4 linked regions of the Lepisosteus oculatus genome follow. The main gene of each other region encodes a partner of the protein of the gene in region 4 in a complex. Links are inferred from orthologs where the notes say so. Each region holds a gene or a part of one and is shown on either strand. Other genes may lie near its edges.

Evidence for each region.
Region 1: plrg1 (region 4) and snrpe share a complex: the UniProt entries of both Homo sapiens proteins name them as parts of the minor spliceosome. The link is inferred for Lepisosteus oculatus from reciprocal best matches to the Homo sapiens genes PLRG1 and SNRPE.
Region 2: plrg1 (region 4) and scnm1 share a complex: the UniProt entries of both Homo sapiens proteins name them as parts of the minor spliceosome. The link is inferred for Lepisosteus oculatus from reciprocal best matches to the Homo sapiens genes PLRG1 and SCNM1.
Region 3: plrg1 (region 4) and armc7 share a complex: the UniProt entries of both Homo sapiens proteins name them as parts of the minor spliceosome. The link is inferred for Lepisosteus oculatus from reciprocal best matches to the Homo sapiens genes PLRG1 and ARMC7.

Annotation. Positions count from the first base shown.
Region 1 is NC_090700.1:38,045,176-38,052,913, reverse strand, and holds snrpe (small nuclear ribonucleoprotein E), read left to right. Parts: upstream 1-4,431; 5' UTR 4,432-4,561; coding exon 4,562-4,615; intron 4,616-5,156; coding exon 5,157-5,183; intron 5,184-5,611; coding exon 5,612-5,674; intron 5,675-6,816; coding exon 6,817-6,895; intron 6,896-7,050; coding exon 7,051-7,106; 3' UTR 7,107-7,336; downstream 7,337-7,738. Other genes in the region: zc3h11a (zinc finger CCCH domain-containing protein 11A), read left to right, coding at 1-376, 506-684, 829-1,103, 1,396-1,612. UniProt on the Homo sapiens protein: Plays a role in pre-mRNA splicing as a core component of the spliceosomal U1, U2, U4 and U5 small nuclear ribonucleoproteins (snRNPs), the building blocks of the spliceosome.
Region 2 is NC_090722.1:5,084,787-5,092,394, forward strand, and holds the start of scnm1 (sodium channel modifier 1), read right to left. Parts: upstream 3,308-7,608; 5' UTR 3,236-3,307; coding exon 3,185-3,235; intron 2,920-3,184; coding exon 2,849-2,919; intron 2,531-2,848; coding exon 2,442-2,530; intron 1,882-2,441; coding exon 1,784-1,881; intron 1,067-1,783; coding exon 966-1,066; intron 766-965; coding exon 614-765; intron 327-613; coding exon 191-326; intron 1-190. Other genes in the region: lysmd1 (lysM and putative peptidoglycan-binding domain-containing protein 1), read left to right, coding at 4,626-4,805, 4,986-5,317, 6,736-6,916. UniProt on the Homo sapiens protein: As a component of the minor spliceosome, involved in the splicing of U12-type introns in pre-mRNAs. Plays a role in the regulation of primary cilia length and Hedgehog signaling.
Region 3 is NC_090704.1:32,755,646-32,764,147, reverse strand, and holds the start of armc7 (armadillo repeat-containing protein 7), read right to left. Parts: upstream 3,308-8,502; 5' UTR 3,222-3,307; coding exon 3,220-3,221; intron 2,702-3,219; coding exon 2,604-2,701; intron 2,315-2,603; coding exon 2,171-2,314; intron 1,224-2,170; coding exon 886-1,223; 3' UTR 1-885. UniProt on the Homo sapiens protein: As a component of the minor spliceosome, involved in the splicing of U12-type introns in pre-mRNAs.
Region 4 is NC_090696.1:24,675,601-24,684,074, reverse strand, and holds the start of plrg1 (pleiotropic regulator 1), read right to left. Parts: upstream 3,292-8,474; 5' UTR 3,176-3,291; coding exon 3,167-3,175; intron 1,719-3,166; coding exon 1,612-1,718; intron 630-1,611; coding exon 490-629; intron 310-489; coding exon 256-309; intron 131-255; coding exon 37-130; intron 1-36. UniProt on the Homo sapiens protein: Involved in pre-mRNA splicing as component of the spliceosome. Component of the PRP19-CDC5L complex that forms an integral part of the spliceosome and is required for activating pre-mRNA splicing.

The sequences.
Region 1 (7,738 bases), on a different chromosome or scaffold from region 4:
GCATGTGCCCCCCAGCATGTGCCAACCTCCGTCCAACAGAAAACCTCACCACCAGGCCCTTCCAAACCACGCATAACCCTCAGAAAAAAAGAGACTGTGCCTGTCCCAAAAAAGGAGCAAGGACCTGTGGCGGTTGAGAAGAAAGACTCTCATTCTCCCGAGGATTCAGCTACTACTTCAAAACAGACACCCATCTCGCCTGTTATGGATGGCCAGGGAGGCTCTTCTGCAGCCCAGGTCCCAGAGGCCGGAACACTTTCCTCAGCTGAAAGCCCTGGAATCTCTTCCCCATTAACCCCTAATCCAGAGCCTCAGGCTGAGAAGTCAGAAGAAGCTGCAGCTAAAAGATCCACCACACATCCACCGCAACCAAAAGGTAGTACTGATTTGGTGCCGTGTTGACATTGTACAGAGTTGCACGTTATCAGTTTTTTGATAATTTTGGTGTTTAACAACTAATTCCAAAAACTTTGTCTCATCCTTCTCTTTCTTATAAACATTTCAGTGAGGCCCAAGTTGAATGTGAAGCCGTCAGTGGTAAAACCAGCTACCCCAGTTAGACTTGGCCAAAAGCGCAAAGTGCCCGAGAGCCACCGCTCTGCAGTTGCGGCTGTCAAGCCTCTGAATAGCGCCCCCGCAGCATCGGAGGAGCAAGAGCAGGATCTGCTATGCAGGTGGCCTGAGGTGAGAGCAAGCAACTACTTCACTCTTTTTTTCGTAGTTTGGGCGAAAACAGGAAAGGATTAATTACTAAATATTTTTAATTAAATATTCTTGAGTCAAACTGCAATTTGAAAGTTCTCATTTTCACAGTAATTTTGTTTTCAGACTCCAGCACTCACAGATACAGAGGCTGACATGACATCATCGCTCCAGAGCCCACAGATCGCAGAACCTGCAAAGAAAGCCAGGACCCCCGTCCCAGAGTCCCCGCGGCAGGACCCCAGCACCATCCCCCAAGAGGAGCCCGACAAATTGTCTGTCACCCAGTCTCCTGCTACCCCACAGGCAGAGCCTCAGAGACCACCTGCCCCAGAGTGTGAGCTGCCTGTGCCCAAGCCTAGTGCCATCCCAGCCAGAGATACTCTGTCAGTTCCACAGAGGTAAAACTGCATCCCTGATCACAAGCCTTTCATTTTAACACTGCTTAATCTTGGGACAGTTCAAAATCCCTCTCTGTGTTAAATTTAGTTATATTTAAAAGCACTAATTTTAAATTTTTAAAATGACTTATTTTTTTCCCAGTGCTGAAGTGGACACTCCCTGTTACGGTTTTCTTTCTTGAGAGCATTACTGTCCCTTCCATCAGGCTTTTAAAAAAATAATGTCCTTCTTTGCTCTAGGTCACATGTTCTTTCTTACTTTAACTTTTCCTTTCTGTGTGCCCACCCCCAGCTCTGCTGCAGTGACGAGCCCGCCAGTGCGTGCCACCCCCCTTGCGAAGACACGCCGGCTGAGCTCGGCGTCCTCACGGGTCCCAGGAACGGAAGTCGATGACTTTGAGGAACTGATCAAGGAGTTTGACGACGGCCTGGACAACGAGATCGAGCTGGACCCTGCTAAGGATGACGAGGATCTGCTGCTGGAACTATCTGAGATGATTGGCAGCTAGGGGCAGGGCAGAGGGTCCTTTTCAGTTTCTCTTTGGACAGCTTAACAGTTGCTACCTTCACTTAGATGAAAAGGGCACTTTTTTAAACAAATTGGCTGGCTTGTGGGTTTTTATTCCCCCTCCCCTGTATTTTACCTTAAAAACTGACTTTTTAATGAAGTTTGGAATGGTTTACCCAACATCCATTGGCGGCCCAATGTTAACATTTTAATGCTAGAACTTCAAATGCAGTACCTCCAGTGTGTCTCCTCAATGGTTTTTACGCAATCAGGAGGTATGGTGGTTTGCACTGCATAACGTGAAGTTCAGGGTGCTTTTTTGCTTTTTAAAAAAAGGTATTGTAAAAAGCAGGGAGATCTTTCTGTTTTTTATTATTTCTTAAGCTCCCTTCTTTTGTCTGTATAGTAGTTGCTACACATTTAACATTTAAATGTCAAGAATTACACACAGTGTTCCCAGAGGGAATTTTTATTGGCTGTATTTGCATTTTTTGTTTACTGGTTCTATGTTAATCTTTCACTGATGGAAAAATGTATAGCATAAAGAAATGTGAGAATCGTGTTGAAATACTGCTTCAAAGAAAACACCATTCATATTCTGTTCATTCTTCAGGTATAGAATGGAAAAGCCTGCTTTAGGAATTGTGACTACTGCCATACAAAGCAGTCTTACACTTACTGTTAGATTCACTATCTTTTTTGTTTAATGCTAATATTGAACATCTTTCAGTGCTACTCATAATCTGACCCACAGCTTGACCGAAACATGTGTTGATGTATATTTGTCTGAATTGTATGCTTGCCATGGGTGTCAAGTGCAGAATAGTTATTTTCACCTTCACCTATTATTCTATATAGGCTAAGAAGACTTTGAGCTTGGAAATAACTGAGATTGTGGAATGGAATAAAACAAGCTAACAACACTTAATTTTAGGATTTACTGATTAGCATTCACATTTTTTGCACCCAGCCCTGCTGTCCTCTTGAAGATATTGCTCAACATGGCTTCATATCAAGGTTTGCAGAGCTATTTCCCCAAAAAATGGAGTGACTGACCTGTAACTGCTTAATTGCCTGTTATTGCACACACATCAGTGTGTGATTTGTACTCCATTATATTGTCCTGGAAGACCTCCAAAAAATGTTTATTTGTAAATCTTACTGACTGTACTGTGAACACAATGGTCTTTTACATGTGGGGTAGGATGAAATTTGAAAAAAAAACAGATAGACCTAGTTCAGCCAGGTAAAGGGCTTGTTCTGTTACAATATGTATATCCCTTTAAGTGGAGTCTGTATTAATTACGAAATGAGCACTACTTGAGTGGAATTTATCAGTTTAGAGGGAGGGTACATATCCGCGTTTGGTGGAGTTTGCCATTAAATCTGCTTGGAACTGTCAGCTTGTGCTGATAGGCAAAACTGAGCTAAACTTCTGACAATGGTTATTTTATGTACACGTAAAGTAAGGAAATAACTCAAGAGTGTCAGCCAACAAAGTCAGTGCAGTTTGTGGATTGGATTTCAGTTCTCTGTTACATAGTGCACACCAGCTCTAGTGCAAAAGCCCTTTTCACACATCACCAGTGCAGCCAGTGTGCGGTCTCTTCCATTCTTTGGAAATACTGTCTGCAGCCTGTTGCATAAGGCATACATCTTCACTTCAAAAAACAATTATAGGATTTGTAGATGATTCATTACATTGGAAGCACTAGAGGATGGAGGGGTTTTGTAACTTTAGCAAACAGGAGATACAAACTAAAAACACAAAAGGCAAACCCAGTTGCTTTAATGTAATTGTGTACTATAATTTACATCATTTAAAGAGTGTCTTAATCTAAAATGTGGTGCTGAAATTCCACTGGGGACCATGTTTTAATTTTTCAAGAGTGTCGTATCATGTTTTATCTCAACATAGTGCTGTGTTCTCCCCCCTGAAAAACTAGTAGTTTATTTTACAATCTTGAAGCTTCTCAGGGATGACTGTCTTTTGTGGAGGGAATATTGTTTCTCATTTTTCTTCTGCACTGTTCTGTATGAATGAAAGTATATGTACTCTAGTTAAAACATTTCAGTCGGGTGTGTGTCACCAGGCTGCGGATGTTTTCAGAAAGTGAAATAGGTTGTGTTCATGTGAGGGAAATACGTTTATATTTTATTTTTCTCACCATTGACCACAAATCTTAAAAGTGGCTATATTGCTACATTTGAGATGTATGGTCTGTTAAGGGGGCTGGACTGGGTTCCTTGTCCTATTTTCTGTGTCAGTTAAATTTCTGTTCTAATTAAATGCCTGTATACCATTTCCAAAATTCACTTATTTGTAAATAAAAAATGCCTTTTTCAAAACCATAGGTTTGTTTGCATTTTCAGTGGCACTCCCATTTATTGCATATTTTTAATGATAAGCTAGTAAATGGAGGCAAAAACATTCTGTAATTTCTGTCATTATTGATACAAAAACACAAAGACCTGCGGAGTTAGCTTCTGTCAATCGTCCATTTAATTGGGGCTAGATATCATTCTAGGTACCTAAACATTTATGAGAAATTAGGTGGTAATTTTCACTTCCGTTTGGCGAAATATTGCTTTTAGGATGATATTGTCTCTTTTTTACAGTTCTTAAACCAAAAAAACTTTGTTTCGTATGTCCTATTTCCGTAGTCGTACTGTGCAATTGAAGTATACAATTGTAATGGTATAACGACCTCCCATCAGCAGATGGCGCACACATTTTTGTAGCTTACCGAGGCCAGAAACTTGATCCTCCAACGTCCCACGCTGCTTTGAGGTGACCCGGAAATTCCGCCATTGAAGGGAAGTTCAGCGTGGGGGCACCGTCCGCAGAGAGAAGAAAAGAAGCGCGGTGTTCGACAGGAAGACCGGCCCCAGTAATTCTGTGAAAGTTTGTTTTTAAAGTTCTTTTTGAACCAGCAGAACTTACAGGACTATGGCGTACAGAGGCCAAGGACAGAAGGTTCAGAAGGTTATGGTGCAGCCGATTGTATCCTTTGAAACACATAGTACTCTGCGTGCGTTGTGTGAGCCGGGTGTGCATAAATGTTGTGTAGTTTGGCCTAGCTAGTAAGAACTCTTTTTATGTCTACATTGTCGGCGTTCGTACACTGCTATTTACGTTTGGTATGTTGACCTGACTTGTCGTATGCTTCTATGTGATTAACAGACTGATATACCCCTCTATTCGGTTAATATGTACGTTTTTTAAAATTGAAATAATTTGTAATAGTTTCAAATCAGAAAAGGGCATTCTACAAATTGTTTATTCAACTCTGGCCTTACCCAACATGGCATAATTCGCTAGTTTTTTGTTTTGGTATCACGAACGTATTAGATTCTTAACAGTAAATGATTCAGAAACTAGTAATTGGCATGCGCATTTACATTATTTGCTTTTTATTTATATCGCGTGTGATCTTAAAAGTGTGGATTCCCGCTGGAGACCGAAGGCTTTATTCATTTAAACTGATAAAGGAGGTGATGTGAGAAGAATTTATTAACTAATTTTCCTTGACTGATCCCTTCAGAATCTTATCTTCAGATATCTTCAAAATGTAAGTTTTGTTTCTTTGAGTTACTTTCAAAGTCATTAGTTAGCCTTTGGTTGCATTTGTTCAATGTATCGGCTACTTCTACACACGGATTCTCCGTTGAAGACCCAGGTCTTTCAAGTTTCCATGCTTCCAGAGCAAACACGTAATTACAAAAAAATATTTTTACATGATCGTGCTTATGATGTGCTAGGTGCCTGTGTATGAATGCTGAGAATGTATTCCAAAGAACATCATTAACATTTTCTGTAATGAAGGAGTCGGTGATCTGAACATTTTGTAGCCTGCCTGTATGTAACCTCAGTTAAAGAATCTGATAAAACAGTCCTGACACTTTTCACAGGGTTTTCCTGTCACACTGGAGCGGGCTTTTAAGCCTTCAACCACATCTTTCCTTCAGCTAGTTCACTCCTGTTCTCTCTCCTCCTCAGCGATCCAGGATCCAGGTGTGGCTGTATGAACAAGTTAACATGCGGATAGAAGGCTGCATTATTGTGAGTGAATCCTGAGCTCTTCCACAGAACTGCCCCTTTTCTCCAGCCCGGTTGCTGTGCTTTCTGCTTCTGATATCACACAGCAGGGTGTACCATTTTTCCATGACACAGGATTGGATACAGATCAGGTTTAATGGCAGTTTGATACATTTCAGGTTTTATAAGTAGTTTAAAATGGCAGTTGCTACTGCAAATGTATTGGAAAGGGGGTGGCATCATACCTAATATAGGACCTGGCACTTGGTTCTGGCTCCCTTAAAAGAACATGAAGCCAGGCTCAGATGAACTGCTGTTGGTCCAATTAAAAGCTGTTACATTGCTATAGTGTAATTTTGTGATAGTAGTATATACTACTCTCTGTATGGGGGGTTGTTCTCAATGTTCTATTCCAGGGATCTCCAACTAGAGTTCTCAAGACCCCAATCAAGCAGGTTGTATGGGTCACTATTACATCTCTAAAGAGATTTAACGTTACTATTGGGATCAATCTTAACAGATGGTAGTCTTAAATGACCTCTAAATCATTGAACTGATGAAAACTGGAATGTGGATATTTATTCTTTGTACATTAATTGGATTTCTTTATTGGAATGGACAGTTACAAGAAAATTGTCAATAAAGCATGCACATATTTAACAGAGACAAATGTTATAGAAGGGTTTTGAAAGTGTAAAAGTCTGGAAAAGGTCTGGGATTTGTCTATGGGAAAAGAGCAAGCACCGTGAGAGTCTGCAAGTTTTCCTCGTGTTCATGTGGGTTTCTGACAGGTGCTCCAGTCTCCTCCCACAGTCCATTCTGGTAGGCTAATTGGCCTCAGGGACAATTTGACCCTGATGGAAATGTGTGCGTATTTCTGTTAGTGTGTGCATCCTGCAGTGGACTGGTGCCCTGTCCAGGGTGTATCCTGCCTGTGCCCGTTGCTTGCTGGGACAGGCTCCAGCTCCCCAGCTACCCTGAATTTAAAGAAGCAGTTAGAAAGTTCGTTATAATATTAGCCAAGGGAAGCAGTAGGTTTTTTGTGTTGCTGTTTGCACATAAATGAATTTTCTGTGAAGATTAGGTGTGTCATTTTTGAGGGATCTACATTGACTAAATCCCACTTCTTTTTCCCTGACCATCTCTTATAATTTTGTTCATTTTAGGGTTTTGATGAATACATGAACTTGGTGCTTGATGACGCTGAAGAGGTTCACATGAAAACAAAAACCAGAAAACCCCTTGGTAAGCATGTTTGCATTTTTTTTTTTGGTCTTGATGCCCATGACTTTAGCTTTTTTTTTGGTACTAGTCTACATTAAAATGGCTATATGTCCAATTTAGGTGATGCTGAAACAAATACGTGGTTAATCTGAATGACCTGTTTCTTTCTCTTGCAGGACGGATAATGCTGAAAGGAGACAATATCACCCTACTACAAAGTGTGGCGAACTAGTGCACCCAGAGTATCCCTTGTTTAATGGCCAATAGTTTCTTTGATCGGTTGTAGCTGTTGTGGAGCAGGTGATGAAGTGTATGTTGATGGTCATAAGAGTAATTTAGGCTTTAACCAGCCAACTGTATAACAGACAGATGTATGCCGAATGGAGTCTTTCTGACCGCTTATTTTGTATTTTCTTGTGTAGTGTGTACCAATAAAACTGGAGTGCTTTTTGTAATCCTCTATTTTTATGACCAAGGTGATTTTATTTTGGGGAAATTGAACTTTAACATGGACTGGAGAGCACCTTTGAAACTGAAACTGATAGGAAAAGTGTGGACATTCCATTTATGTTGGGAGTGTTCTTCAGCCCCAAGTGATGATGCGGAGCAGTTGGATGTTGTGAAAACTATTTTTTGTTTTATATAAACTGCTCCATTAAAGGCAAGCAGTCTCTCCAGGTCTAAACCCTGGCTCTGTCTCCTTGCTGGTTTACTATGTTGCTCGGCCCTTCCTAATCACTGCTTACATCTGTCTGTATTCTTCCTCCCTGCTGCAGCACGGTTTTTATAAACCACAAAGCCGACATTCACATTCTGGAAGTTGATAATCAACCCTTTATTAACTCAAGCGCTGTATGTGCTCTG
Region 2 (7,608 bases), on a different chromosome or scaffold from region 4:
TGTACCAGTGGGAGGATCTTCTTCTCCAGCCCCATTGCCTTGCCATCCGCTTTGACGTTTCCCCCCTCGCTCTTCTTTTGCAGGATGAGTAAGTCAGTGTCCGGGAAATGATACCGGCCAAGGGCCCGGAAAATAGGGCGGATGCCTTTTCTAGGCCACCTCCTGTAGGTTCGCACAAGTGGAAGGTTACCTTTTCAGCCTGAGGTAGTGCTCCATCTCTTGGCGCCTCTGTGCCGCCCCGGGATCTGGCTCGGAAGCCGCCGCAGGCCGGGACTTCTTTCTCGTGCTCTCCTTCGCTCGCTCGGGGACGCCCTCTCTCGGGATCTCTGGGGAAGGTAAGAGAGCAGGGAGTTACAGCAGGGCCCTGTAATAGTGTGTAATAGCGTGAAGCAGGGCCGAACACAATAAGATTTCAAATTAGGCTTTGTATTTGCCTTATGATGTAAACTTATCTTTCAGGTCTTAGAAGGCCATGAGAGTAGCCATAAACTATATCCGGTGCCTTACAGAGATGTGCTATCATAGGAACGCAGACAGGAAACGCATATGCTACATTTAAAACTGCCATTCTTTCAGGTGAATATGTTTACGAGCTATGCACATGATTGAGCACCTAGTGCACTGTTGCTATGGTGTCCAGGAAGTGAGGTCACTGGTGTGGTGTCAGCCGTTGATGTCCCCCCTGACTGAGCTTGCAACATTTGGTTCCTGGGAACAGGGGTCCTGCTGGGTGAGGGACAGCTGGAGTTTGATTCAGACCTGCTGCTGTAAGAAAAACACACATTTCTCTCTGAGCTGTTTGGCAAGAGCTCAAATGAAAGCCAAGGAGAAGCCTAGTATTTTTGCAATGCATTTTAATGTATACTTCATACTTCAAATGAAAACCCTTCCACAGCAGGGCAGACAGGGCTCCAAGCTTTCTGACCATTTTATTGTTGAAGGTTTTTACAGACAATCCCAGTTACCTTCTCTTCTGGTGGCAGCTGTTGTAGGGGGTGGACTTCAGCAAGGCATGATGGGTAATCTTGCGTGTCTGGGCCAGCAGAGGAGCTGGACCAGCTGTCTCCTTTAGGGCAACGACAAGGCAAGAGGAGAAGAGAAACGTAAACTCATCGTCCTCCAGAGTCAACGTACCTGTTCAGGCATGGAGGTTCGTACGCCTGACAGCTGCACGACCTTGCTCAGGCGAAGGGGCTTGGACTGGTCCTGGAGTCAAGTCCCCAGCTAAGGGAAGAGGACCGACATTTCAGTCGCGGAAGTCTCGTAGTTGTGAACAATCAGCCTGGGGCACTTGCAGTATAAAACACTTCTAGGGTTCTGTGACTCTCTATAGCAGCCAGCCAGGGCCTTCCCTTACTGCGCCCCAGAGCTCTGGAGCTCCTTCCCCAAGCATCCCAGAGTCCTCTTCCCCGAGCACTTCCAAATCCAGACTCAAAATCTTCTTCCCCGGAAAGCTGATTGTTTTCTATTTAATCGGCATCTGTGTCTGCTCCTTGCACCTTCTCCTGCTAATCCCTTGTGCTTCTTCTTGTTACTTCTGTAATCTCCTGTCTTTTACTGCTCTCTTTTGTTTGAACTCTTCTTTTCCTGTAAGGAGTTCTGAGCAGCCTACTTTTAAACGCGCTCTATAAAACAGTGTTTATCATGATGATAATAAGTAGCAGAAAATGACATATGAATAGGATTCTGGTTGTTCTTCTATCCTACAGCTTCAGTTAAAGGGGGACTAAGGATATGTGAGACTTCCAGGTGGTCGTCTGATTACACAGCAGCTTGAGCTCACCTGCCTGCCCGCTTCCTCCTGGCGCACGTAGGCCAGGTGGCGCCGCTTCTCGATCTCGTTCTGCAGCTCCCGCTTCTTCCTGTAGGACCACTGGAGCCCTGCGGAGACACGGGGCAGGAGACGCGTCCCTCAGAGCGCCTGGGCCACAGGACCCCCCTGCGCTGGGGGGGAGGAGCCCCCCGCAATTTAAGCTCTTCAATAAGGCTTCTTGACTTGAAATGGGGGTGGAGGGGGTCATGGCTCACCAGGGTTTTCCCAGGCGACCTCATCAGCACTCACTCGCTGGAATAATAATAATAATAATAATAATAATAATAATAATAGTCCTGGCGCTTCTATAGCGCTTTTCTGGACACTCCACTCAAAGCACTTTACAGGTAATGGGGATCCCCTCCACCACCAGCAGTGTGCAGCCCCACCTGGATGCTGCGCCAGTCCGCCCCCCACACACCAGCTCTCAGTGGGGAGGAGAGCTGAGTGATGAAGCCAGTTCAGAGAGGGAGGTCATGAGGGTTAAAGGCCAGGGGGGAAATTTGGCCAGGACACCAGGATTAACATCCCTAGTCTTCTAGAGAAACGATCTCTCCCGGGTCAGCTCCCAGACTGGAGTGCAGTCCTGCATGCGGCCGGTACCCGGTCTGGAACAGGCGAGACCTACCCTCCAGGTGTCTCTTCCCTTTCCTGTGGACGGCCAGCATGTCCACGGTGTCGAACACGGGCCGGGACGAGCACACTAAACAGGCGTACCTGCGGAGGAGAGCACAGGGGCGGAGAGGGAGGGCGCCTAGAGGCTAGATTCCCGATCCCATACTGCCTTGAAGGGAGAGATAAAGGAGTCTTCATCTGCAGTGTATCATCTTCCAAACAATAAATGCATTCATTCTTTGGGGGGCGGGGGTCTGAGGTAATTGCAAGCATCAATTTGATGCCACAGCCCAGAAGTTTCAGATGGCTTTATAGCCAGTGTGGAAAACACATCCTACATCGACTTGGACACATTTTAGGCTGAGCCGTGGGGGGGGGGGGTAATTTGCTTAGGGCGGCGCTATGCAAAGGTGGGATTACCTTCCGTTCTTCATCAGGACGGCCTCGTCCTCGGGAATGAAGTTGGACAGGAGATCAGCGACGCGTCGTTTCTGCCAGTGAGAAGAGAGGCTCAATGGGAATGAACCAGCCTGCCTAATTGAAAGGGCCTTTCAGATGAATCCCTGAATTACACATCTCTTCATCAAGACGCAAAAGCAGGGAAAGACACTCTGGGCACAAAGTTAAGATCCCCTTTAGAGCTACTTTTCGGAGAGAAATAGCTAGCTTCGTTCAGCTGCACCTTTACTATGTTTGCATCGGCCTTTTCGAAAGCACAAGTAGAAAACACTGGAAATATTAAATAACAAAACATACCTTGAGGACATTCAGTTGACTAGCGTCATCCCCTTCCCTTTTAAAAGACATTATTACAAGAACACCAGAAAAGTACTCAGCCTTGCTTTTCGTTCATCGGACAAACATCACTTCCGCCAGCTGAATGATGGGACTTGTAGTTTTTCAAGTGTTAATGGCTATCGAGTGGGTGCTGGGAGTCCTACTTATTTGTGAAACCTCTGACTGGGACAGCATAAATACAACTGCAAGTCTTGTTATTGTAAAAGTAATAATTAATTAATGCAAATTATGGGGCGAGGGATGTACCCTACTTATAGAATCGTCCCGCTTGTTTCTCTATGCACACTCCAGTTCCCATGGGACTGTGGGGCCTCGCCTTTCCCAACATTCCTAGCTTACACGCCCAATAGAACTATGGAAATTGTAGTTTTTTAAGTCATGTCTATCTCGTTGTTCCAACGACTCTCCGAATTAGGCAGAACTACAACTCCTAGGGTACTTTCATTTCGAGTACGATTGTATGTAGTAAAAAGCTTGGCGTTGAGGACGTTATGTTATAATTTAAGGTTTCCGTCACTATGATGAAACGGGTTTTTTAAACAAAATGCGCTACAAAAAACACGGGAAAGACAGTGACAAGAAAATGCACACGCGAGAATGTTCAACGAACAGAAACAGAAAACGTGTTCGAGTAACTCATTTTTAGACTTGCTTTGGTACTGATATTTTATTTTTGACAGTTCCAGGGACCTCGTTCGCGATTGTTACGGGTTCTATTTCAGGCGTTTTAATTTAGAGGAATTTATAGCTAGACGCATAAATAACAGGTACGTTGTATTTATTTTAGCCACAGTACAAGTAGCTTTTACTCCAGCGTCGATACACTGTACTGTACATCCGCTCGAGGGATGGATCTGCGGGATAAAAACAGATCAGAAACGCTTAGGAAACAACCCTGCACAATCGAAGAACCTTGTGTTTAGCTAACTGGGTGACGGTTGCTAGCGCTTAGCTAGTCTGCATAAAACAGACCCGTCCAGTGAAACCGGTACCCCAAGTTTCTCTGTTCGGTCCCGCGGACGTCTCTTTAATCAAATTAAAGCCTGGTGCTTTTCGTCCTGCAAACCGCGAGCCACTGGGGGTCTTAAACCGTACTTCGCATGCGAAGGCTTTCCTGTAGTTCCGATCTCACACACTTCTCTCAAAAAATCTCCCGCTGTTGAGTCTGTGTGTGATGCCGAGCCTCCCAAACATTTTAGAAATTCGTAACCGGACGTTTTGTGCTCTCAAGAGAAGTATCTTCACACGCTGTTGATGGGCGCAGGGAGGTCCACTGACCTATACAGCATTTGAGCTTGAAAGGGTCCGGGGACTCTTTCGATGGAGCCTCATCCGGAGACCACCGAACTGGACTAAGACGAAAAACAGAGGGGGCACAAGGGCGACATCTTCATCGGCGATGTCTTCGGGACGGCTCCCTGCTTCTGCCGGGGGCGAGGCGCTCCTCTCCGGGAGCCGGACCCGTTCCTACGGCAGCCTGGTGCATTCAACCCGGTCGCCGGTGCGAGAGAGGCGGGTGGAGCACCAGGTGCAGCCCGGAGAGACGCTTCAGGGACTGGCGCTGAAGTACGGGGTGACGGTGAGTGCCACCTGGGGGTTGGTTTCTGAGATTCGCCTGAGCAGGAGAGTTCATGAGGTCATGTAACTTGGGCTCTGCGAAACTTTTGTGGCTCTTTTCGCGAAATATTTTCCCTCACTCGCATGAATAAATTCCTGATTCAAAGATTGTTTTGTGGTGTGTGTGTTTTTTTTTTTGCAGATGGAGCAAATCAAGAGAGCCAATAGGCTGTACACCAACGACTCCATATTCCTGAAGAAGTCTCTCTCGATCCCGGTGCTGACGGACCTGGAGCCTCCGGGGGGCGGGGCGGGGCCGGCGGGCGAGGGGACGAGCCAATCGCCGGCCGGGGAGCGCGGAGAGGACCTGAAGGAGAACGGCGCGTCCGCCAATCAGACGAAAGGCGAGCCGGAGGTGCCCGGCACTGGGGTGAACTCGGACCTGTCGGCCAGGGACTTCCTGGAGAGGATGGACTGCATGATCAGCCAGTCCAAACAGGCAGCTGTGAGGAAGATGCGGGAGGGAGAGAAGGGGTGAGTGCCGGCCGACTGGACAGCTGGGTGTCCCATGACGCTTCATTTAATTACAGTGGACGAATGATGCAGGCACAGTTCTTTCAAAGTGAATATCCATTCATCCATTTTTTTTTTAACCGCTCGATTTTTCCTTGCAAGAGGCTGGGTTGGGGGGGAGGGGGGGAGCTGGTGACTGTCCCGGCATTCAGTGGGTGCAAGGCGGGGTACCCCCTGGATGGGACGCCAGTCCGTCACAGGGCAGGCAGACTCACACCAGGGCCGATTTTCCCACAAGGGAATTAATCCACCAGGAAACCCATCTGAACACAGAGAGAACATACAAACTCCACATAGACAGCACCCGAAGTCAGGAATTGAACCCAGGGCCCCAGTTCTGCAATTTAGCAATTGAACATTTTTAATCAAGACCTGGATGCTTAAAACAAATTTTACGGGTGACAAGCACAGAATTGTTAACTTGGTGAAAGTACTGTAAGTCGCCATGTTGTCGCAGACTCCTGGTCTCACCACAGAGTCTGTGCAACATGTTGGCAGCCCTTCCTGCTCACTAGTCCCTGTAATGACTAGTACGCTGTGATGTACGAGCGAATAAGTACAGACTGTGCTGCAGACATTTCACTGCTGAAATGTTCCAACGAGATCTGCATGCAGAGTTAACAAGTAGTATTTGTAGCATAACCTTCTCGAAGGCGAGAGCCATATTTCTATTGGATTAAAGGAGATTGTTTTCACAAGCCTGCTTGTTTACAGTGTAATAGGGCCTTTTCACCTTACTGGAAGTTTTGTTGCCTCATTCTCAATCGCAGGACATGGCACTGCGCATACCTGGATCATTTTGTCTATTTTGTGGTGTAAATTGGAGGTTTAATACATTACTGTGTATATTTTGCTTTCATTGTGGTTTGAAATGCCCTCATCAATGCTGATTCTTCCGAACCCCGAAATATAAAAATGGCGCTGCAGCTCCCCTTTAAATAACCTTGCTTTAGCATGTACAGTAAGTGACGTTTAGGTAAATGCATTGCACCTTCTGAAACCTGAATTGGGCCTGAGTCCTGTGGGGCAGGAGTTTCTGTTTCCATTCCAGGGGTGGTGTGGTCATTTGTAGTGCTGCAGTAGACGTTAGAGTGAGCTGTGTTAATGCTCGACTGCCCGACAGACCCAGCAGAGGAAATACCCTGCGCCCCTGCTGGGGAGCCTTCCTCAGGGGTTCGCAGGCAACAGGCCGGAGTGCAGGTTGTGGGGTGCGACGAGAATTTATTTCCCTCTTTCAGGTTGTCAGAAGGATGTTATTGTTGGAAGCGGAGGGAGTCAGGAAGCAGAAGGAGACGACGAGGTGAAATGAGACCCCAAATAGACGCTGTCCCGGGGGCAGTCCTGCAGAGGATTTAATTCCCTCCCCTTTGCTTTCACAGCCTGGTGGGACTTGAGCCGGCCGGCCCCCGGAGAGCCTCGGCCAACCGCAGGGCCGAGCTCCGGAGCTCCGCCTCTTCTCCCAGGGTGCACCAGGGGGCCACGCTGGGCCCCGTCCCGCTCACCATCACCAAGCGCGCCAACGGGCTGAGGGACAGGGAGGACGAGATCTTCCAGCTCTGACGCCACCCCCGCCCCCCCCCCCCTCGCTCTTCTGTCGCCCCCCTCAGCACGGAGGTCCTGGGATACCGGTGCCGAGCGGATTTCTGACTTGTTTTTTGAGGGAAGGAGGGAAGGCTCACACTTGCATGAGCCCGGGTAGCTCGGCGGGCTAAACCGCTGTCTTGGATGCCCGAGATATGGGAAATAGAGAGCACAGGACTGAACCCCCCTCCAGCTTGGCAAAGACACACGACGAAGTGTGAAAGGAAGACGTTCGGAATAGATCAGCAGCAAACAAACACAACAGCAAACCAGCATGCCGCCTGACCCAGTCAGTCGTGCTGGAATCCTCCTTGTAAAAGTACATCAGAAAGACTCCTTGTAGGTTTTCTGTGTTGAAATAACTTTTCGACTTATTTCGTGACTTCTGTACTTCAGGTCAGATATGTTCTGTAGTTCAGGTGGGTAGCTGCATGCGTAGTCTGCAAAGGAACAAGTAATAGGTTTACTCCACGCTGAAAAGAGAAAAGAGAAAACGCAACGTTTCGGCTGTGGAGCCTTCTTCAGGTTGTCTCCCCGAAGACGCCTGAAGACCCTTCTTCAGGCCAACTGAAGAAGGCTTCACAGCCGAAACGTTGTGTTTTCTCTCTTCTCTTTTCAGCAGGGAATAAACCTCTTACTTGTTCCTTTGCAGATCTGTTCTGTGCTCTGCT
Region 3 (8,502 bases), on a different chromosome or scaffold from region 4:
GAAGAAGGGTGAAAGATAAGTGCCCTGGGCTTCCCCCCTAGATGGCCCAAAACCAATCAGGAAATGCCTATTAATTAACAGTGCATATAAACAAATATAACATTTAAAACATACACAGCACTTAAAAGAAAAAGGTTTCCTTAAACATGGTATAGGACACTTAGAAACCCATTTAAACAGTATGGAAACAGTTCTATCAATACAGGCATATTCTAACTGGAGGTTGCAGATATGAAGGAAAACAATGACAATGCTGCACTCTACTGGACATTACACTGTGCACTGAACACATCAGTGTGAAGTGTTATAGAGAAAAGTGCTATTGACAGATTTACAGTGATCCTGTGTTCATCACACTATTTTAGTAGTTCTTGGCCAGAGTCCCTGCTAAATGTATCTACCAATTCCCACTCATCCAGAATGCTGGGGCTGCTCTGTGCGCTTGCTCTTCTTTGCTTTTCTCACGTTGCTTCACTGGTCCCAACCCTCTGCTGGCTCTCTGCTGCATTGTGTCCAATTTGAAGCACCAAATCTCACACTGCTACCGTACCTCAACCATTGTACTCCCACTTATCTTCAGTCTCTTTTCTTTATAATCCTCTCCACTTCTCCTCATCTCCTCGTGTGCAAGACCTTCTACAATGTGATGGAACAAGGTGAGGCTTAGTTTCTTTTCCTTAACTGGAGTAAATTGGACACACCTGGCTTGACAGACATTCTTCAGGGGCAGCAGCAGTCAGATGAAGAGGGCAGGGAGACAGTTAGGAGAGGAATGAACTGTAAGGAGTTTAGATGGTATATCCAAATATGCAAATTATTAGTTCAATTAGAGTTGGGCTAGAACAAAAACCAGAAGACAGTGGCATCACTAGGAGCAGAGCAGATCTAATCCTGAGGCAGTGGGATGCCCACAGCAGAGTGTCCCTGGAGGCTCTGGGCTCTCTGCACCTTCTCCGCAGTGCAGTAGTCCTGCAGGAAGACGGAAGCCAGATTGCTTAATCTCCGGTTTGTAGACAGGGAGAAGCGCAGCATGCACTCCACCACGGGGATATCGGTGATCTCCTCGCGGGAGGCAGGAGTCATCAGGTACATCAGAGTGGTGATGGCAGACAGCACTGTCTCCTCATTGGGGCTGGACAGGCACCCAATCACCAGCTTCACACCATCGTTCTGCAGGATGTATTCCTTGTTGGTTTTGTCCAGGCTCAGGTTACACAGACCCCCTGTGAAAACATGGAAATTGCTAAATAAATGTACTAAAGCATCAGGTTAATTGTGATGCATTTTGTTCAGTTTCTCTATTACATTGTTTAGGCTTCAAGGAGTGCCAACCTATAGTGCTGCAATGGCGAACCTATGGCATGCAGGGCCATATATGTAATCACCCCTAATAAACAGCCTGCATTCTGTCTGGAACACTGGAAAGTTAGTCAGTTTTTCACCTGCAAAGATGCCCCTGAAGTACCCGAACAGTACTAACTGTAGTAAATATCCATTCATGGTTGGGTGTTTTGCCGACGAGCTGCTATATTTAGGAGAGAAACAGCAACAGCCTTTCCTACTTTACAGGTGATTTAACTGTTTCAAAATGTCAAAGTCGAGGTGACAAAACTAGGTCAGGATTATATAATAAAGGTATTTTGGGTTTACATCTTTTCTAAAAAACCTTTTGCATGTTATCAGTGTGAGGAGTGCAAGGTCTTTTTGTTGGTGTTACTGTTAGTTGAGGATTTTTACACTAAACTTAGGCAAACAAAAAAACTATGAAATATGGAGTTTATTTGTGGATATATATATACACACTCTTTAAATAGGTTTGTAGAATTTCTTTCTTAATTTAAAAAAATCAACATATTATACAACATGATTTTCAACAATAAGACCACCAAGCACCTTACCTGCACAACCTTCTGAACCACACCTTTTTCTATAACAGAAGTTTCTGTATCACCTGCACATGTGTACCCATTATCATATATATACACATTTCTCCACTGGCCATTTAGAAATCTCTTGCAGAAAATGCCCTAATGTAATAATCTAATAATTGTTTGCAGTTATACTAAGTTATACGAAGACATATTATTGATTCTGATTTCTAGAACTGTCTTTCTTTTTTCATCATCATTCTTCTTCTTCATTTCTATCTTCTTCTCAAAGTCTTCCTTACCTATTCCGAACTCCACCAGGCTCTCGTTGTCCTCTGTGAGCATGTCCAAAAACAGGTCGATCACCTGAAGCTTGCGAAGGGCCTCATAGTTGCTGGGGTCATAGGAGAAGTTGGCCAAGTTTGCCAATACTTGTGTCTTGGCTTCTAAACGTGAAAATGAAATAAACGTTCACAGATTTTGAATAGACAATAATTCAACCAACACATATTTCCATGTGGACAACATTTTTGTAACCATTGCGGTGCATCTCAAACGCTGTAACCCATATTTTAATCTACTACGTTACTTGAAATCCTACGAAAACATGGTTTCCACATGATTTTGTTTCATTGACAATGCTTAATAAAAGAGCTACAAACACCGCCTGCTGGTCAGTGCCTATAAGGTGCAGAAAAATTAATAACATATTTTAAAAGAAACAGAAGTTCATACCAATGCTGTCAGTATCCTGGAACTCTGTGACCAGAGCCTGCAGATACTCAAATCTGTCCAGTCCCTGGGAGTCACCTTTCTTGGGGAACATCACACTCCTAAAGCAAAAAAAAAAAACATTTTCAGCATAGACAGCATAATCCTCAGAACTATCTTGATCTTTAAATTAAGGCAGTGTGTCCTATACTGTGAAAAGCAGCGTTTTGCCACACTAGAAAGACACCAAAGCAGAGCATGCAAAATAATTTAAACTCAATTTAAAATATATTACTTGAACCAAAGAGATTACATGGAGTTGTACTGAAGTATTTAAAAATCATGAAAGATACTGCTGTATTTCAAACAAATTACTTCTTTACGCTCAAGAATGAATACAGGATACACATTTAAATCAATTTCACATACAGGGAAGGAGGGAGGTACGGAATTCTTTGCACAGATTTTAAGTGTCATATTTTTTTTTCAAACGTTAGAATTTGAACACTGTTGGATCCATATTTTATTATAAATTTACGATCAACCGAAAGCTTTTCCATATTGGTGTCGGATTAGCAGCAAAAGTGTTTATACCACAAATAATGCCCAAACTGAAAAGTAAAAAAAACAAATTACTTACATTTAAAAGCTACGCTAGTCTGTTAGATATTTTGTTGCATTATAAAAAAATATACATTTATTACACTAAACTATTTTATTTACCTATCGACGACCCATTTTTCATCCACCTTTGCCTTCCCCTTCCACACACACCTTAATTTTTATATTTTGTATTTACTTCCGTTCCTGTCCTAGTCGTTCTCCCCCGATCGACAGAAACGCATTGGCTTTTAGATTCCAGTTCCACAAAACTACAAGATCTAATGACAAAATAAACCAGTGAAAACTGTAATTAAATATCTCTTATTAATGGGAGGAGAGGACAAGTTATAAAATTCAAAATGTCTTTGTAGCGGGTGTAAACTGCACAATGATGCGATTGCATATACAAACCGTATATAGCTGCAGATGTGTATAAACGGAAAACTCGGGCTGTACTCTGGTGGACGGAACTTTGTTTCTCTGAGTCATGTGTTCTATGCCGGAGCTTATAGGAGGAGAGCGCAGTTGCGTTTTGTTTTTTAGAAGCGTGAAGCTAGTTGCTCTGTTTTTTTAAGGTAGAAAGTGGCACTCATTTTTGTTTTTGCCTAGGTATTTCTTCGTATAGCAGAGACATGAAACAGATCAAATTGTCTGCCGGCAAGCGGTTTGCCAAGCCGGTCTTGTTTGGGACGATCCTCATTGGGTTGTCCATCGCCTTTGTTAACAGGTGTGTATTAGTGTGGACGAACAGATATATTTTCATAAACGCTTTTTACTTTATGCAACATTGTTCATTTATTGTGATGAATAGCAAATTAAAGAGCTTTGCAAAATACTCAAGGTATTTATATATACCATTTGGGATGTTCCGGGAAGCTTATTATCCTTTTGTAGAAAGTCATAACCTTGGATTCCTATGAGTGCTAGAACGAAGTCATCGCTCTTGCAGAAGTAACAAATCATTGATCTTTGTTGACCGAAATAGTCTGGTGTTTTATTTTTGCCTTACTTTTGACCTGGGAATGTGCTCACTGAACTCATGGATTTGATCATTTGTATGGTTTATTGACCTTGGCAGAGTTCTTGGTTCTAGTTCAAGTACTGGTTGTGGGACTCTCGCGCAGACTACCAGCTCATTTAGCTAAAGCTCATAACCTGGCTTGTTCCACGAAATGGCAGGATGAGACCCTCGGATCACCGAGCTTCTAGCAGCTGATTGACCTTTATATCAGAAAGCCTCTCATGTCAGCAGCCATATCACACTGCAACTCACAACTGACAACCTGCTGAAGCTAAGCAGGTGTGAGCCTGGTCAGTACCTGGATGGGAGACCTCCTGGGAAAAACTAAGGTTGCTGCTGGAAGAGGTGTTAGTGGGGCCAGCAGGGTCTATGCCCTGTCTATGGCATAATCATAATCATGTCTATGGCATGACCTGTTGGTAAAAAAGATTATTGAAAGAGAATGCGTTCAGTGTGAGGACCAATTCTGCAAGGCGTACCAGGGTGTGGGTGGGTGGATCAAGCACTGTGCGTTTGTCCAGCGTGTGCTTGAGTGTGTTGGTAAAAAAGATTATTGAAAGAGAATGCGTTCAGTGTGAGGACCAATTCTGCAAGGCGTACCAGGGTGTGGGTGGGTGGATCAAGCACTGTGCGTTTGTCCAGCGTGTGCTTGAGTGCTGTAAGGCCGTCATTATGGGGAATGACGGTGTACAGAGATGTGATGTCCATGGTAAAAATGTGGCATTCGGTACCCTGAAATTGGAAATCATTGAAAAGTTGGAGCGCGTGGTTGGTGTCTTTGATGTATGAGGGAAGATCTTCAACCAGCGGTCTCATGAGGCTGTCGAGAAAGGCTGAGATGTAAGTAGTTGGACAGTTACATGCTGATACGATGGGGCGTCCAGGGGTGTCCGGTTTGTGGATTTTGGGGAGGAGGTAAAATTGAGATACCTGTGGATGTTCCATGATGAGCCGGTTCGCCTCCTGGGGGAGCTCGTTACTGCTGATAAGAAGGGAAATGGTGGATACCACTTCCTTTTGGTAGTCAGTGGTAGGGTCCTGTTGGAGAGGGAGGTAGGCAGAAGTGTCAGTTAGTTGTCTAGAGGCTTCAAAGATATATAGATCCTTACGCCACACCACAACAGCACCTCCTTTGTCCGCTGGTTTGATGACGATATCATCCCTGTTGCGGAGAGACTGGAGCGCCTGATTTTCTCCTTGGGTGAGGTTAGACCTATGTTTACTGGGTATAGAGAGTGTCTTGGGAGCTTGATTAGTGCATTGGTTAATGAAATAATCAACTGGTGGAAAACGGCCAGAGGAGGGAGTCCAACAGCTCTGTTTGGGATTAATGTTGTTAATGACATCAATAACCGGGTTGTTATCAGCTGAGAGAAGCGGGCAAGTGGCCCAGGGAGGAAGAGAAGGTATGACGAAGAGATCTAGAAAAAGATTTGGAGGAAGGCATAGTGGGTCGCAGCAGCTGTAGGCGGTAGTAGTTCAGGTGGGTAGCTGCGTCAGCATGCGTAGGCTGCAAAGGAACAAGTAATAGGTTTATTCCATGCTGAAAAAAAGAAGAAAGAGAACACAACGTTTCGGCTGTGGAGCCTTCTTCAGGTGTGAGAGAGACAGGGCAGACCCTGCGGTCTATGTGGGTCCTAATGCCCCATTATAGTGACGGGGACACGATACTGTAAACAGGCGCCGTCCATTGGATGAGACGTAAAACCGAGGACTCTCGGTTTAATGAGTGGTCATTAAAAATCCCAGGGCGTTTCTCCTTACCTTACCTCCTAATAATCCCCACCTATGAATTGGCTTCATTACTCTGCTCTCCTCCCCACTGATAGCTGATGTGTGGTGAGCGTTCTGGTGCACTATGGCTGTCGTCGCATCATCCATGTGGGGCTTCACAGTGGTGGAGGGGAGACCCTATTACCTGTGATGGTAATGAGTGGAGTGTCCAGAAAAGTGCTATACAACTGTAAGCTATTATTATTATTGAAGCTGAAGGCTTTCAACAGGAACACCTCAATTCATCTAGAAAAGGAATCTCAAATGTTTAAATGGAATTTGGAGAACTCACTAGGTTTGAGATATGTATTTTGGGAAATGCAACTTAACATTTATACTCTGAAATTTACTTAACGTGAATGTATTAGAATACATTTGATACCTTGAAATTACTGGGTTGAACACAAAGTATGGTTTTGTTAAAGTTAAAGTCAGATATATGCATGAAATTTCATATTAATCTGATGATCATAGATTCAAACTGCTTGACTGTAAGACAAAAACAACAGTTATGATTTTACTGTCCCATTACTTTTAGGGGGAGCTGTATATATGTATTAAAGTGTGAAAAATGGTGGACCAGGAAACGTAACTAAAGTAGCAGTGTTATAGTAGCAGCATCAAGTATATAATCTCTCTCTATACTCTTAAGAAAATTATCTGCACTCCAATTTTTATTTAATATAACCCAAATAATGGACATGCATACATATATTCATTATTTATTAAATAAAGCATGTTTATTTAATAGAAGCTCAAAGATTCCTGTGTGCAAAAGTAAGTGAAAGTTAATTCAGCTAGCAGTGGTACACCCTTTAGGAATTGTTTGGTTGCAGTCATAGCTCCTAAAGTTAGTAAAGTCCTTCACATCTGCTTTGAGGAACATTCTTCCAGAAACCTAAAGGATCATCCAGATGGTCTTTTGCAAACTTAAGATGTGCAGCAATGTTCCTTTCTTAGAGCAAAGGTTTTCTTCTGGCTACCATTGCTATTCAGCTTGTGTCATATTGTTGAGGTATAAACATGGACATCAACTGCAGAAAGAGAAGCCTGGAGATGCTTGGATGTGGTCCTAGGGTTCTTTTGGACATCCAGGATGAGTTTTCTTGTTGCTCTGTGGGATAATTTGGAAGGACATCCACGTCTAGGTAGAGTTACCGTGGCCTTAAATTTTCTCCATTTATAGACTATTTGTCTTCCAGTAAACTGATGAATTCCAAAACCTTTTGCAATGGTTTTATAACCCTCTCTAGACTGGTGAGCAGACAACACTCTTCCTGAGTTCATCTGAGCTTGTCTGGGGTCTCTTTAGATTGTGGGATGGTGCATTACATTACTCTGTATGAACAGCACCAAACTGACTTTGCTCAGGTGATTGGTTCTTTGATTGCTTAACTTGGTACCCAATTATTTTAGCACCTGGTTATACTTACCATGTTGACTGAGCTAATGAAACCTGCGGTTCACTTACTTTAGCACATGCCCTAAATCTTCTTTTCCTATTTCTTTTTCTATTGCATGCATAAATTCCTCTGAACAATACATTGAATTTGTGGACATAAACCTTTGTTTTAGGGAGGACTAGTTTTGATTAAACAAAAATTTTATAGTCAAAATGAACCACTCGGAGGTTCACAAACTTTCAAGTAGCACTGTAGCGTTTTTTTTTAGCTATGGCTGGGTCTTTATATTGCTACTGGAGGTTCATTATGTTTGCAGAAATGCAAAACATCATCATCAAAATAATAATTTAAAAGACAATACTAACTATATTTTCAGACACAAGTTTTTCCCTGAAGTGGAAGAGATTCGTGCCAGAGAACAGGCCAAATACGATGAAAAGCTGGCAGAGGTTCTGGAGCGTCGGCAGAAGCAAATGGGAGAGCTGGCAGAGAAGAGACAGGCTTCTCGATGAGCTCAGGGGATGTCCTGTCTGTAGGAAAGGCTGAGCTTCTCACTGCTGTACAGACAACCTGGCAGCCAGCTCCTCAATTCCTGTGGAGTTGCTCAATCTCTCAACAATATTTTGTGCAAACCTGGCAAGTGAAGATTTTCTGTGAATTCCCAGATACTTTTGTGACGAGAATGATGTATAGGAAGGAGTATATCACTAAACTGACTCCTAAGAGTTCAAAGATAAGAAAATATTTTTCCTTGTAATACGCCATTACAAGGTTGAGTAGTGCACTAATGTAAAATGAAAGCCTCAAGGTCAGGAACAACATCTATGAAAAGCTTCAAGTGTTTTCTTTTTTCACTTCTCGGTAAATGGCTTTAAAATTTTTAGTTTTACATTGTAAGATGTATTTCCTTAACTTTTCAGCAAGAATAATTAGTGTGTGGCCAAAATGTTTTTATTACCTATATGTATTTACACAAACTCCTTTGCAAAATATATACAATTTGTTCATGTCTAAATGTGTGATTTATACTCTCATTTGGGTGTGCTACCATTTGTTGGATACATGCTTAGCCTCACTGTGCACAGATGTGCCTCCTACTGTTTTCCTTTAGATAAAGCATACA
Region 4 (8,474 bases):
TAACAGATATAACTCTATAGGAGAGGATTACAATACCTTGCTTGTGATGGTGGTAGTGCCAATGCCAAAGACTGAACACCTGTGTCACTAGGCATTTTCTGTACCTGTGTATCAGCAGTCAGGGCTATACCTGCGAAAGGGAAGAGGGAGTGAAATGCTGTTAATATGCAAAATATAATAAAAAGCATGTGGCAGCAATATAATCAAATTCATAATGAAGGATAAACAATTTGGAGAAAAGAGCAGAATTCACACCTGGTCCAGAGGGGTATGGATGAGTTCCAGTAATAAGATACTCTGGATCATGCCCTGAAAAAAGTCAAATGAAAAGGTGCTCAGATTCTTTTTTTCTTATTATTTATATCCGGTCATTGTTCTCTCAATGTTTCTGCAATATAACTGGCTTAACTCAACAAAACAAGAACAACAAGACAACACAAAAACAAAATAAAAACCTTTGAAGAAATGCCTGTAACCTGAGACACTTACCAGGGTTTGCAGAGAAGTTCTGTTGGCCATAGGGGTCAGAGATCTGGAGGGAGCCCTTGTCTTTGCCCTCTTTGAAAACTGGCATGTGCAGCACAGCACTGTACTCCGTACGCAACTTGACGGCCATCTTGACCTTGTGGCTGACATAAGATAGCATTAGGTGAAATGTGAGCAACTCAGTACAAAGCTTTATAACAAAATGAATTAGATGGGCTTGAAAACACCATTAAAAAGTTGCACTCAGTTGCGGACTCAAGTAAAAAAAAAACAGCTGTCCCCAATCTTGTTCACAAGTTTTTCGTTTTAACCTTTAACATATCATTTGTGACTTATCTGGACATGTTAACAGATGTTCCCAGCTTTTATTCAGGTGCTGGAGCATTAAAGAGACATGGAAACCCTGCAAGCACACCAGCCCTACATGAAATGGACTGGAGATCCATTTTATGGATGAGACCATTTTATGTATCAAGTTACATGCTTAGTATTCTTGTATATTTTTCTAAGCATAATGTATAATAATTCTTATTCCTTACTTAAAGATCTTCAAACAAGGACAACTTCAAAATTCCAGATATGAAAACAGCTATACCAGTACCTAAAGCATAATTATTTTCTGCTCCCAGTTTCTGATTTTACTTTACTACTAAAAATTTAAGAGAGCACAGCACACAAGTAATACAATCTTATTTTTAAACACACCTCATGTAAGATATGAGATACCTACAATCTTGAGCAGGGCTACACAACCTATAGGCTCTACATTCCACTCCAATACCAAACTGTGCTACCACCAGATCATTACTTCATCGCTAAATTATTAGTATTATGATTAATAAAGCAATTCCAAGAGCTGGTTAAATCAAACTAGTGTAGTGGAGTCCCTGGTGTGGTCCTGATGTAGAGGGTCACACGCTTTGAAGGATTTACTGTAGTTTTTCTTCACATTACAATGCTGACAAAGCTCAACAAGTCTTAGGATATCAGCCACCACAAACAACAAGAATACCACTGAAATCCACTGGAAAGTGAAAACTGTAAAGTTGGATTTGACAGATCTTATAAGTTTTCAAGATGTAGCAATACTACAAATAGTATCTATTAATACATTTAAAACCTCACCTTTCTTCATCCATATCAATGGGCTTCGCATGATCAGCCACGAACATATCATGAGTGCGCTTGAGAGATCTGAACACCAGTGTGTGCACAGAGTGCTTCTGTACCTCCTAGAAGATATTATAGGGCAGGCATGATTGTAAAACATTTCTGGAATAACAGCTACAATTCAGTATATTAATAAACACCACAGCCTGAATATAGGTTCTTGAAAATCTATTGAATTGTTTTAACCACACTAACTAGTTAATAGCAAGAAACTATTTTATGTAGTGCCTTTAAATGCCTTTATTTTATAGTGACTTTGTGGCTTCACAAAGCACCTTACAGAAAAAATAAATAAAATGAGAGCATACAACAGATACTGTTGAATTCTGAACATATAATAATTTTTTCAATGTGGATTTAGACACTGGCGAGTAGGGCAAGACAGTAATCAATTTGGGTTAACCAACTTGAAAACGAAAGTGACGACCAGCTTGTCAGCAAGAGTTAGCAACACCATAGGACATAGTGTGGCAATATTTCTGAGGTGGAAGAATAATGTTTTTACAATGTGCTGCACATGTGGGTCAAAACGTCAAGCCTGGATCACATATCACCCCAATTGTCATCTAATTAATTTGATAAAATACTAGATGCAAGCATTCAAAATCCTCTTCCGAAAACGTCACTGCTAAACCAACCCAGATTATTTCTTCAAAATTAATATTGAAACACCAGAGGACACGGGTGGAAACTCCGTGAAAGTGAGTGAAAAAAAAGTGGGGCACTTCTTTACAAAGAGGGTTGGGGGAGTATGGAACAATCATAATAAACTTTATTTTAGACAGTTTCTTTAAAAGGAACTTATCAAAGGGCTTTACCATAAGAGAAAAAATTAACAAGGAGAAGATGTAACAAAATTAGTACAATTAAAAACAAGCGTTTAAAATGCAGAAGAAGAGGCAAGGGGCACACAGAGCCAGCTACTCAACGCCGCTGCTGAAGCCGATACCCTTGGAGTCTTTCAAGAAACCGCGGGATGATATACGTGGATAAGTAAACGTCTAACTAGAAAATGTTGTAACCTTTTATGTTCTTAAGAGTCTTCTCTCTACCCAAGTAGACTGACATACTGATTTATATTTACAAATAAGTACATCAATGAAAACTGACTGAAAATCTTAAATAAACGTATCGCTATTCAGACGCATACATCCATACTAAGACCCGTTTTACGACCTTCAGATTCCGCTTCAGCCAATTATTTCGTATTTATCGAGCAATCACACACAACTAAAACACCATAGTAAGACACCAGAGGGGGGAAAACATAACCATAATCAAATCTTAACTACTACAGAAGATGTTAATTACTTAAGATTCTACAACAAAACAACTGATCTATAGTCTCTAATTTATATAACCTTTAATTCGTACCTTTTAAAACAAAAGAAAGAAGCGTATGCATTATACTGGCCTATACAATACATTTCATTTCAAAGTTCAAACATATTTTCCTTTTGAAAAATCAAAACATAGAACAAAACGAGAAAGAATATAAACAATTAATTACCTCCACCATAGCTGAAGACAAATCCTTTTCACTCGATTACTTTTTTAAATATATTTTTTTTAACTATTCGAAAACGTACCACCAACAAATAACAGCGCGCACACAATATGAATACAGGAGGAAGGAAAGTCTGCGTTCATTTCCGCTTCCGGGGATAATCAAATCTCGACTGTTAGGAGATCGACACACTCCTACTGAGTGGTACTATAGCGACTTCTACTGTAGCGGAGGCCAAAAATATATTCGTTAAGAGTGTTACAGTACATACATACAGTAAATGTTGCCATTAATTGAATATTAATATGTATTCTACATTTGATTTTGTGGTGCAATTTTCATTGTTACAATAACGTATATACCGATGTTATACAGTAGTTTTTAAGAGCAAAAAATGTCCACAGAACTTCTAAAAATATACCAAATATATAGTTATAATTAAAATAATTAAAAAATTATCCATCATTATAAACATGGGCAATAAATGCTATAAAATACAAGAAATTACGATTGCTTACAATTACACTGAACCACCAAACGCTCTAGCAGAAGCATCTTAGACCCTGGTCCAGTCCCCTAAATTCTGTAGATCACTGTAAGTCACACTTTTCTGAGGCTTGTGAACAGATTGGTCAATCAAGAAAGTAATTTATTCAATAAAAGTAACCCTGGTCCTAGCTGAGGTCTAGAATGTACAGTACTTAGAATTTTGTTTCATGTGGACTCTACAATACAGAATTTAACGAGTCACCTGAATAATTATTCACAGATGTTTTCCAAGCCTTTGGAAAATACCTTATAGGTACTGAAATGTTTTCAATTGGGGCTCTCCGGGACAGTATTGGAGACCAAGGTTTTGGACAATGGAGAATTAAAACTATTTACTAAAAATAAACCAACTGAAGTAAACATACAAATATGTTTCTACTGTTTTTTTTTTAACAACGCATAATAGTAACGATTTGAGAATTGATAAAACATTGTGTAGGGATTTCACATTTATCATACATTTCATAGCTCACATATTAATAAATACATGCATTTACAGTAAGTATGAAAAAAGGCTGTGGAGCTTTTAGATGTGGCAAGTAGAGTATAAAAAATTATCAACATCCAAAATGTGTTTATTCTTTATGTTTAGTTTTCACTATGGAAATAGACTTTGCTTGTTCCTTTGCAGCTTTCACACTGACACAACTCACCCTCTAATCTCTTCATTTTATGTGTTGACCATTATACAGTAGCTGATAAATTTGTGCCTATATTGCTACTGCAAAGTCTCTAGCATGCAATAATAACAGTGAATTTTTCCTTTAGCCAATGGATTATATTGTTTTTACTATAGTATTACAATGTTTAAGAGTACACTCTAATATAATGATAACATTTATGACTGTATAGAGAATATTGTGGTAGAGATAACAAGACAGTTGATGGAAACAACTGTCTAGACATACAGTATGAAGGAAGTGAAACTCAGCTCTCTGATCCCCAATGCAACACAGGTTTTGCAGGCAATAGTTGAAGTGTCCTACAGGGAGATTGTGTGCATGCCATGAGTAGGCAGGCTTGAAACATAAAAAAGGGAGATAACTGGGTGATGAGAGGCAGCAGTCAGAGGAAACGACAGACACACCCCATAGGGGTGGCATCCTCAGAGCTTTTGGAGTTCAGCCATTTCAAGGCCTTATTGGAGACAGACCGCAGGAAAACAAAGGACACATAGGAAAATGTTATGCCCCTGGACATCCAGGAGCCCATTCCTTCAGTAAAGGCAGGTACTGATAGTGGCTGACTCTATATGTGAGGTATTACATATAGAGTCTCATCCGTCTCATCCGTCCTTCGGATGAGACGTAAAACCAAGGTCCTGACTCTCTGTGGTCATTAAAAATCCCAGGGCGTTTCTCGAAAACAGTAGGGGTGTAACCCCGGCATTCCTGGCCAAATTTCCCATTGGCCTTTACCAATCATGGCCTCCTTATAATCCCCTTCGATGAATTGGCTTCATTACTCTGCTCTCCTCCCCACTGATAGCTGATGTGTGGTGAGCGTTCTGGCGCACTATGGCTGCCGTCGCATCATCCAGGTGAATGCTGCACATTGGTAGTGGTGGAGGGGAGTCCATGCTGCCATATAAGATGCCTCTACTCAGCATCAGAAGCATTTGAACAAATACAGCATCAAATGTAGCCATTGCCATAGGCTTTTCTATAATTGTACTAGAAGGGCCTTTCTGTTTTGTGCTACTATGTGAAGATTCTATTGAATACACTGAAAGGTTGTGAGAGATGGCTTTGTAAGAAAGCCATCATCTTGGATGAAAGACCACTGGGAGGTGGTAGTAGACTTGAGATGAGCTAGGAGGGTGCTGTTGTAGGCAAGAAGAAGGGGACAAAACTGCAGAAGAATGCATTCAGTGATGCAAAGCAAAATGACTGAAATAGCTACACTGTATGTGTTGTTTTAAAACCATTTCCATAAAGGATGAATAGTTTGTAAAGTGAACGGCTACCTACACTTAAGATAGCAGAAGGTTTGAAAGAATATAACACAAAACAAGTCATGAGGGACGATATAAATCGTCACTTTAAACAAAAAAGGTCTGTTTTTACTTATGCCTGTCAGGGAAGAAGTTTCAGTAAAGATGTTTGTTTCTTGACTCACCTTTCATGTACAGGAGTCCAGTGTCTACCCAAGACTACATGTAATTTCAAAACTCTCCCCTTTTCATGATAAAATTGATGCCTGACCTCTCTTTGTTGAAATCTGCATTGGGAAAAACCTGTTGTTTTTGCTTTCCCTTGAAGAAAAGGCTCCAGTAATCCAAGCCAAGATGACCTTTGTTCTCTAGACTGCCTTCCACTTATAATTGTCCCTTCTTTTTTTAATGCCATTCTCAGTTCTTAAATTTAATGTTGTTTAAATCTGTCACCTCTTTTTGTCCTAGAAACATTTGGCTGAAGTTGGAATACATTAGCTTGTTCATTTAGCTGATTAACTTTAATAAAAATTGTATTTTATCCTTGTATTTTAAGCATACAATGAGTCACATTGTAATGTAACTTTTTAAAAGGCTCTCATATACTGTAGTGCTTAATATGAAATGGCACTATAGAAATAGTAAAATAACAGTAAGATAATTGATTGCTGAAATTTTAAAAAATTCAACTTGCAATGTCCTAAATGTAATGCTGAGATAATCTGGAATGAGAAGTGTTATAAAAATGCAAGTCATTTTTTATGATTAGAAAAAAGATCCATACTGTACATGCAGTCACTTTGGTGTGTGGTAGCTATGAGATATCATTTTGTTATTATTTTGTTGTTTAGAGTCTGGGTTTTATATATAAAAAATAAATAGACTGAAAGCTCTCCTGTGTAGGATCTGAACAGGATCAAATAACTTGACAATCATGGTATCAATGCACCTATTTGCTTTTCTGTTAATGCGATAATTAAGCCTATAGTAGGTGGACAAATATTTCTCAATTACCGTTGTTTTTCATTTTCATTTAGTTTCATTTAGTTAATTTCACTATCTAACTAAATTCCTATGATACTGAGTACTAAAAGCCATGTGCTCATTACATTTTTATTTCAAAATAGTAATCATAAAAACAGCATGATTTAAATGTTTAGATTCTGTGTGGGAGTTTGGCAGACAAATAAGTCCACTGTGATTAACCGACTGGATGTATGCTTGCACAATATTTCTGAAATATTAAGTAAACAAAATGAAAGAATTGAACATCAAGTACCTACGTAGCTGTCATAGAAGGCCCATGTTTTCCTGCTGATATGACGTGAAGAAAAACAGTATAAAAATATTATATGTTTATTGTATATACTGCATAACAAAACAGGAAATGGTGCTGTCATTCCATCTAATGAGTAAAGCCACCAAAGGTTTAAAATGTACATTTTTTTTCAAGATACAATTAGCCTATATACATTATTCTTAAAAATGTTGAAGTACATATATATGAAAATGAAATTCAAGTGCAATTATATTAGAACTGGTAGATACATCAGATCTATGTTGATTCTTTTTGTGATGCACAGTGCCAACCTGTCATAAAATGCATTGTTTGTATTGAATATACTGTATGTAAAACTCTAACAATGAAGGAAGTATAGGCTGTCATTACTGTATTTACAGTAGGTACAGTAAATACTCTCCATCCCATCTGCATTGTTTGAAAGTCATTAGATAAGGCATCAAGTAATTATTGGCTTATAAGATAGTTGGCATACTACAAAAAGACTTTTACAGACACACAGATTTGGCATCATTATCCATTTGTTAAAGAAATAAATTACTGCTTTATTGTGTTAAAATGCTAAGTATCTTTTGATAAAGGCAAAAAGCTAACTGTTGCCAGAGAAGGTATTTCAGAATTATACCAAACTTAAACAAACAGAATGCAGTGTTGTTTAACTTTCATGTGTTCATCCTTGACATCAGGTTGTGATGTGCTTGCATACCTCAGGGCTGGTTGTTTTAGGCAATGTTTGGTCAAGCAAAGTACATTCTTTATCCTTTGTTGCTTCATGAAACCAACATTAACCATTTAAATCCTTTGCTGTACTTAAAAAAATGTTTGGGTACAATGTAATACTCAAATGTCTTACTTTCAACCTTTTCATTTACTGTGGTCTACATACTTGTGTTAATTTAAATTACATAGACACTTCAATTTGCAAGTGATGCATTTCCCCATGGAAATATCTGCCACTTAGATGTTTGATTTAAGTCACATTACACATAATGTTATTCCAGATTTGAAACATTTTTTAAAACAGTTCCGATGCTTCATTATCACATCATTACTTCAAGGTATTTAAGCATTATATTAAGGTATTAAGTTATTTCACTAAAAGAATATTTTCTATGGCTTCAAACAGGCAGTAATATAGGTTATAGAAAAAGTTACAGAAGCTACATGGTAACGAAAGTTTTCACTATTGTGTTCTTCACTGTTCAAGTGTTTTAACACTGTTGTGATCCATCATAAACTATTTCCCTTTGTTTTCTTGGGTCCAGACTGTCAGTTTATTTAGCTGAGAACACAAATGCTTTTCTTTAATGCTTTTCTTTTTTGATTGAACACTTTTTAGGCTTGGCTCTTCTTTAAAAACATGAGATAACAGTTCTCAAAAGTCTGGCCCTTCTTCTATTACAGTACTGTATATGTTAACAGCATACTGATAAATGAAAGCACCCTGTGGAATTAATTAATTAATTTAAAATATAAATATAGATTGATAAACCTTTCAGGGAAAATTACTATTTAATACACATAACACT